Linked DNA regions of Daphnia pulex. The protein of the gene in region 2 purifies or fractionates together with the protein of the main gene of each other region. This does not show direct contact. Links are inferred from orthologs where the notes say so. Each region holds a gene or a part of one and is shown on either strand. Other genes may lie near its edges.

Region 1 (3,773 bases), on a different chromosome or scaffold from region 2:
TGTCCTGGACCGGCTGAAGGTCGAAAACAATGTTCTGGTGATCGCACACCAAGCAGTTCTGCGCTGCCTTTTGGCAGCCTTGCTCAAAAAAGATGAAAAAGAACTGCCCTACATCCATACACCACTCCATACAGTGATGCGACTGTCGTTTAAACCTGCCGATGGCGGTTGCCATCTGGACCTTATCCCGCTGAGCATCGAATGTGTCGAAACGCACAGAGCCAAACCCGAGGTAACATTTCTTTCACGGTCTAGTTCTTTTGTTTGAAGACTAATCAATTCGACAAAACCCTTCTATAATATTTAGAATTGCAGTCTCACACGAACGGCTGAGGAGGCCTGTGTTACAGTTCCTGCCCATTTCTAATGCAATATGTTTCAGGCATGGAAGGAATTTGTTTTGCACGATTCTCTGGCGCAGATTTGTTTTAATCGATGGGGTTTCGCCTGTACGGTCGATTTCTCTCATCCTTGATTATTTTCCATATTATAACCATTTTTTATACATATATATATATCTGTGATTATATTCGCATAATGTACTGAGTGCTTCAATAACTTAAAAGTATATTCGGGGATTCTTTTTGTTTCTTTTATAAATATGCAAAAGAGAATACAACTCTGGTTAAATGGCTTTAAAAATCAGCCCAGAACCTGCCTGTTTCCTTAAAATCTGCCTTTTTAATTGCTGCCGATCTATTAGACTATTTTTAAAACTGGTCCAAGAACAAGGCAAAATAAGAAATTCTTTTACCACGTACTCGCCAGTTCCAATTTTATTTTTAAAGACTTGCCGACGACCACGGTTCCGTTCGTAACCAACCCAAATGTCAGGGTCTTTGAGTTCACTTAGGAATTTGTTTAGAAAAATAATATTGTTGATCTTTTTAAATCATGTGCTCGAGGAATATTTAATTTATTTTAAATACGATACAATTATTTCTTTTCATTTCTTAATATTTACAATACTACAAGAGGATGAAATTTTATATGGTTAAATTAATTCGTATTTCAAAAAAAATACAACGAGGTAGTCCCAAAAACCCAAACCTTTTTAAAGCTTCTTGCAGCCTTAATATTTCAATAACCTTGACTATTAATGACGAAGTTATTTTTGTAATATGGGTCATTTTAGTTGCATTGACGCATAGATTGGAAATATTCCAAATGGCCTGATGTTGCAGCCAATAATGAAAATAATGACTGAGGGAATCACAAAGAGCTGCAAAGAGTGCTTATCTCTTTTTACAATTAAAAAAGTTTAATGTATTTGAAATGTAATTTTTTGCGTTAAATAAAACTTTGGCAGAGACGCAGAGTTTCTTAGTGCCGACTGCCGAGTGCCGACTGCGGCTTGCGCTTGCCGGCCGCTGCCCGTTGGTGTGTGAGGAAATATTTGAAAGTGTTGCAATGTTGCATGCTTGCAGACGAATATTTCGTTTGTTATTGCCATTCAGTCATGTGGTTGGTGATTCGCCTCACCTTCAAAAGTCCACGTCCACGATTAAAGTTTAGTATTAAAATTTAAAAGAACATTAAGTCTCCTGGAAGTTGAACATTGTAAAATGGCTTTACCCAATCCATTTGCTTTTGGAGCAGTTCCCAAACCGAGTTTTACTCACCTTTCTTCACCAAAGAATCAATCTTTAAATCCTGGGCCTGGATTACCACAAGCACCTCAACCTCAATATAGCAGTGTCAGCGTGACAAGAACGCAACTTAACGATACGAAACACACCAATTTTGGTTTCCAAAAGAACGGTTTTCAAAGCTCACAATATCAATCATTCTCATGTGATCGATGTGACCGCTCATTTAGATCTCAAGAACTTTTGGATTCTCATATAGCTGAACACATTCCTTGTGGAATAAATGGCTGTCCGTTTGTAGCCCATCCTAAAATCGTGGAGAAGCACATTCAAATGCAGCATGAAACAGGCCTTGCTGATCAAATTATGAGACTCAACACGCCAGAAGAGATACAAAAGTGGAGGGAGGAAAGAAAGAAGTAGTACTCAATGTTTATTAATTGTGTAATGTGATTTTAATGGTTTTTATTTAGTCGATTTCCCTCAACTGCTAATGTTGCACGACGACAGGCTGAACAGAAAGAAAAGTTAGAAAGAGGAGAAGTCCTTTATGAACCTAAAAAAAGATTTGGTATGGTGTGATAAAATACTTTTATTCTTGAATAAAAATAATTAATAAATCCTTTTTTGTAGCCAAGGGTAGAAATGAAAGAGGGCAAGGTGAGAAAGGAAAAGGATGGGATGCAAGAAGAAATCAAAACAAGAAAAACAAGAGACAAGAAACAGATGAAACTAGATGTGATACTCAGCAAGTTATATCAGAATTTTCACAAAAGCTTCTTCTAGCAAATGAAACAAAGTCATTCAACACCACAAAAACTCACGAAGCAACAATGGGTCTGAATTTATTTATACTCATAAAAGTTATACTCTCATGAAACTTTTTATTAATTATTTTCTTCTTTAATTTCAATCTCTTTGCTTTTTAGTACAAGTAAAAAAGGAACTTAGTGATGGCGAATTAGATTCGGATAACGAAGGAGAAAAGGCGAAAGCCGCGGCAATTCCTGGTAGCAATGCCCTAGCTCATTTGATGACCTATGCTTCCGATTCTGAAGAAGAAGGAGCAGGTAAAAAACACTATGCCATAATATCCATACCCACACTTATATTTTCTGAAGTTTTAGATGCTAAGAAACCAAAATTGGTTTCAGAAGAAAGTGAAAAGAATGTAAAAAATGTTGAAAAAGAAAAGGCAGAACATTTAACTAAACCATCTAAACAAGCCAAACGTCGAAAGAAGGCGAAAGCACAAAAAAACATACCAGATGTTCCTGCGATTAAAGAACTCATTCGTCCTAAAAGACTGACACTTTTGCAAAAGGTCTTGTTCTATTTTAAAGTTTAATTTAAATTGTTTCCCTAAAAAAATGTATTTTTACAGCTATTGCAAGGGGAAATTTTACATGAACGTAACGTTATCCTCCAATGCGTGCATTACATTGTCCAACAGAATTTCTTCGGCTTTGATGAAGGAAACATGCCACGTACAATAACAGTTGCGGCGGAAGTGAAAGACACATCTTCCTCTCAAACAAATAATCCGTTAGTTAAAATTGAGTTGTAAGTTTGTAGGTTCTCACCGCCTTGAATATATCGAAAGCTGAATGGTGTGTTAAAACTTTTTTTATATTTCTGTTAGAAGAACGCATTAGCTTTCGTCGTCTTTTTTATCATGTAAGCTTGTTCTTAGCACGGGCCGGCACTGTTTGGTTTCTTTTTCTATTTGCCATCGGATTGATTGATTGCAGGAACAAAAATTTTGAGACCACTACCACAGAAGTGCTGGTTAACAAGAGAGGGGGGGGGGCATTGACAACAAGCTTACAGAAATACCAGCCTTGTTTATTAGGAATTTCAAACGAACGTTAACGAATAAGTTTCTAAAGAGAAAGAAGAAAATAACGGCTCGATACTATCAAATCAAAGAATGACAAAACCAGAGGAGAGACGCCGCAAATGTTACTTGTCGTACAAGTCCTGGTGATGGTGTCGCGTTTTGATGTCAGGTGTCGTTAAATTACATTCCGACTTGTAACTACACCGACTTCGCAACCAGATTCTTCGCCATTTCCAATTGGAATGATCAGTTTAGGTAAGTCTAAGTTTACTAGACATTTCCATGTAAACTTTCGCCCTACCACAATGTTGCACTGCCTAATGTCGGATGTTACGTTTGCTTCT
Region 2 (4,197 bases):
AGAAGTCTACTCTCAACTGTTAATTAGAAAGAATAGTAAGAAAGATTGGCTTACCGGTGGTCTACCTCTGCCTCTTCCTCCTCCTCGACTTCCTCGCTTTCTTCCTCGTGGCATTACGTTTCACTTGATGTACTTGTTGCAATATTTGAAAAGATTTCGTCTAAATATCGGAATATGGGGTCACACTAAAGTCGTATTTCGACATTTATTCAAGGAATCATTGTATAATATTCATCTAGTCTGCAGTTTGTACTTTGTAGTAGCTGTTTACCATTACAAGTTGCCAAGACTTAAGACTTTCGTGTTGTTACTCGTGGGTTCGAAGCAGACGACAATTTCAAAATATTATCAATCGATTGAAGATAACAATCGTTCATCGGATTTTTTTTTTCTTCAAAAAACCTAAGTTCCCATCACAAAATAGAGTAGTGATTTTTTTAATTTGAAATTGTTTTAGAAATAACGTTAAATTGTCAGTTTGTCTGAGAAGAGTCCTCTAAATATTTAATGGAATCACTAAAATAGTACAACCAAACGAAATTTTCTACCAATGCTTTAAAAATATACAAAACAGTAAATATATCTGCGCTATGCTGAACTGTCTTAGGAAAGATAATGAGGCTGCACAAACAATTTGATAAATGTCGCGGATGTATTAAATCCAACAAAAACGTGCTTCTCACGATACAGAGAATAAAAAAAAATATTGTTGCTGTAACTTTTTCATTCGGCAGACTTTTTCTTCTTCTTCTTCTTTTTTTCAACAGTTCCAGCAGCCTCTTCAGCTTCAGCAGCCACGGGTGGCTCCTCGACATCCTCTGCCTTTGATTTCTTTTTCTTCTTCTTGTCTTTCTTCTCAACAACTTCTTCAGCAGCTTCAGCCGGTTCTTCCTTCGTCTCGACCTTAATGCGTTTTGGGGTTGCTGGAGTTCCGGATTCGTCTCCCTTGCGTTTAGTGGCAAGTGTAGAGTCTGCAGCCGCGTCGTATTGCCTTACCTCACTCTTGTTCTGATAAACGTCAAATTTACCACTCTGTCTGCCTGTGCCTGAAATGCGCGTGATGCCCCCTTGTTCAAGAACTCGGAGACGGGATTCGAGTTTGGCACGATGTTCGGTACCGAGGTCTGAATTAACATCATCTCCCAATGCGTCGACACGGCAAGCAAGAGCAGCTTTAGCAGCAAGCATACGCGAAACTTTTCCTTTCAGCTTGGTTGACGACTGGCCAACAAGTTGAGCATGATAAATAAGACCGTATTTAGGCGTATCGTGTTTAGTTTTAAGGGCGCGGAAAAGAGCTTTCTCTGCACCAAGAATTTGAACAGTTGAAGCAGGATGTTTGGCCAAATTCATTAAAGACCCAGCGTGAGAGATGAGTCGGGCACCAACAAGTTCGCCAACTAAAACTGTTAAATTCGGAGCGATGGCAAGCATTCTGCTCTTCAAATATTCGTACAGTTGACTGCGGTATTCAGTGATTTCGGTAACCTTTGCACACAGAAAACGATAAGTTAACAACCTGTTTACAACTGTTAAAATTATAACAATACCTGTTCACACAAATGTGAAATATTCAAAATATCTTCCTCTGCAATTTCTGTTCCCATCGATATTTCCGCAGCTTCCTTGACCTTTTCCTCGACGTCTTCCGGAAGAATTTCTGAAAGATCTGTAGTTGCAGCGTTAGTTCGAATTCCCATTTTTTGGACTGTTCGGACGAAGGCCAAGTTATCCGTAACGATTTTTCCCATTTCAGGGAAGTGCCAGCCGTACCACTCACGGCAGCGCATCACGTAATTGTTCAATTCTTTGTCCAAGTCATCCAACAGAGAAACAGCCTGTAAGAAAAAGTAGTTAGTAATTTTTGTTACAAAGTCATAACAATGAAATCATACTTGAACAATCATTGTATCAATTTTGTCTGGGCTGAACTTCAGCTTGTATCTCGACAGGCTGTGGGCTAAGCCCAGAGCCATGGCCATCATTTCTTGCTTGGGGAGTCCTCCCATGAGACTGTCTGCTTGGCTTCGGATACATCTCATAAGCTCTTGAATTGCAGAGTTTGACAGACAGTTTATCTGTAATTTTTCTATTAGAAAAATAAAGTTATTAATTGTCCTATAAGCAATTATTTAATGTCAGTTACCTTTAATAGCTGAACCAAGTTTAGCATCAGCAACAGCTAAGGCTTCATGAGCCTCCTCTGCAAAGAGAGATTTTAACGTCTTACGAAGGGTCTTGGATAGTTTGCCTTCAATAGCGGCAGTTGTGGCAGACAAAGCTTCTGTGGTGTCAGTAAATTTTTTAAAATGCTTCAATTTTACCCTAAAGAACCAATAGTTATTAACCCAGCACTAAAAAAAATTACAGTTGTGTAGTGGTTACTTACACTTTGCTTGCACCTTCAGGTGTCTGAAAATCTTGGAAAAGATTGTCAGTCTGCTGAAGTTTCTTTTCATCTAACAGCTATAAACAAAAATATTTGAATTAATCGTACACACGAAAATATAAAATAAATTTACCTTAAACACAGCATAGCCTGCTGGAGTTTCAAATAAGACAAGCATTTTTCTTAAAACGTGGACCTCTTAATAGCTTCTTTAAGATAACCGGGCACACGTGGTCTGAATAGTCAGAAATGCAGTGAGAAAATGAGTTTCATGCAGACTTACACGAGTCTTGAAACGTTGCCGGTTTGCCATGACAAATTTTTACTACTAATCAGCAACCATGAAAATGACCATACTCGCAATTGAAATCAAAGCTGCTTTATTTAAAGAAATTTATTCAAAAATTAAGATATTATTTTAAAAATATTTGTTTGTCCCTCAATATATAAAACGTTATGATCTAAAGTCTAGAGAGAGGCAATGCAGGGCAATGTTCCATATGTAGGACATCGCCTCAAGCATTGAGGCAATTCAACATTTTCATCTTCGGCACTACTCTTTTTTAAGTTAGTTTTCTAAATGTGTATTGTGTAGATTGTCAACTTTTATATAATTTCTTAAAGATGTGTAAATTCCGGCTCATTGTGTTTGAAGTATTAACGAAGTATTAACGACATTGCACTTTGCACAAACGACTAGCGAGTAGCGACACAAATATAAAAACTTCACAAAAATTTAACCCATAAAAATAAAACACAAGCGATATTAACCATTTCTTAAAGCTTTCGTACATTATTTTGTATTTTAATATTTGTAGAATAAACTGGTAGCTAGCAGTTGATTAGGAATTTAGAGAAAACAAAGAAAGGAGAAAAGTAAAATAAATAATGACAGTGGCAACACTGTAGCTTCTCTCCTTTCCAATCCTCCTATTTTTTCTAGTAAACACAAGAAACACAATTGTGTCAGTGAGGAACTTTCACATAAGAAAAGTCTATTTTGTTTTCCAAGCAATAGTTTTTCCTCTCGGCCTCTGATTAGAACGAGGTTTTTGTTCAAATTCATGATTGAGAGTTCACGCTCTTAGGCTCAACTTATTTAAAAAAACAACTTGTGAAATGGACAACAATCGCTTCATATCGCGGTTGCATCCTTTTGTGGCAGCTCGTAATTCTATGCACAATAGTGTTTCGCCCGAAATTCACCGATCTCCTTCTGTAGCTAGTAATATTCGACGATGTGCAACTAAAATAACATCAGATGAACAACGTGCTAAAGCTCGTGAACACCAAAAAAGATGGAGAGAAAAACTCAAAACTGATGTGGCTAAAAGTGCAGAATATAGAGAAATGCAGCGTGAAAGGACCAGGTACTTTCTCACAAATTTGCATGCCTTATGATTAACAATTATCAATGTTGGCTTTCTATTTTAATTTTTCAGGATGTGGAAGGAAAAAATGAGAATCAATGAAGCTGAGAGATTTGGGGAGATTAGCAGGAAACACCAAGAACAATGTAAAAAATGGTGGGACAAGCTGACACCAGAGCAAAGAAGAGAGAAGCGGAAACAGTACAACCTCAAGTGGCGACAGAATCAAAAGAAGGGTGATAGTGACTCTTCAGACAGTAAAGAGACTGATAACTGGCAATCATACAAGTCATACAATCAAACGATGTCAGAAAACAACTCAGGACCAAAAGCTGCCACATCTCTGACAGCTCCTGATTATTATTCTGTGAAAAGTAATGCACCAGTGTTCAATGTTGTGTCTGGCAGTGTAGTATACCCATTTTCCTATTTTCCTTT

Evidence for each region.
Region 1: the proteins of nucleolar protein 58-like (region 2) and nuclear fragile X mental retardation-interacting protein 1-like purify together in Homo sapiens (co-immunoprecipitation; 3 studies listed by BioGRID and IntAct, with this or other methods). This does not show direct contact. The link is inferred for Daphnia pulex from reciprocal best matches to the Homo sapiens genes NOP58 and NUFIP1.

The regions. Positions count from the first base shown.
Region 1 is NC_060028.1:9,395,745-9,399,517, forward strand, and holds nuclear fragile X mental retardation-interacting protein 1-like, read left to right. Parts: upstream 1-1,440; 5' UTR 1,441-1,565; coding exon 1,566-2,008; intron 2,009-2,062; coding exon 2,063-2,160; intron 2,161-2,222; coding exon 2,223-2,426; intron 2,427-2,518; coding exon 2,519-2,659; intron 2,660-2,710; coding exon 2,711-2,913; intron 2,914-2,973; coding exon 2,974-3,156; 3' UTR 3,157-3,197; downstream 3,198-3,773. Other genes in the region: 6-phosphofructo-2-kinase/fructose-2,6-bisphosphatase 1-like, read left to right, coding at 1-232, 308-367. UniProt on the Homo sapiens protein: Binds RNA.
Region 2 is NC_060020.1:6,025,303-6,029,499, forward strand, and holds nucleolar protein 58-like, read right to left. Parts: upstream 2,919-4,197; 5' UTR 2,568-2,918; coding exon 2,523-2,567; intron 2,467-2,522; coding exon 2,390-2,466; intron 2,326-2,389; coding exon 2,147-2,325; intron 2,090-2,146; coding exon 1,896-2,089; intron 1,839-1,895; coding exon 1,551-1,838; intron 1,489-1,550; coding exon 724-1,488; 3' UTR 634-723; downstream 1-633. Other genes in the region: cysteine-rich protein 2-binding protein-like, read right to left, coding at 55-114; golgin subfamily A member 6-like protein 22, read left to right, coding at 3,509-3,759, 3,832-4,133. UniProt on the Homo sapiens protein: Required for the biogenesis of box C/D snoRNAs such as U3, U8 and U14 snoRNAs. Part of the small subunit (SSU) processome, first precursor of the small eukaryotic ribosomal subunit.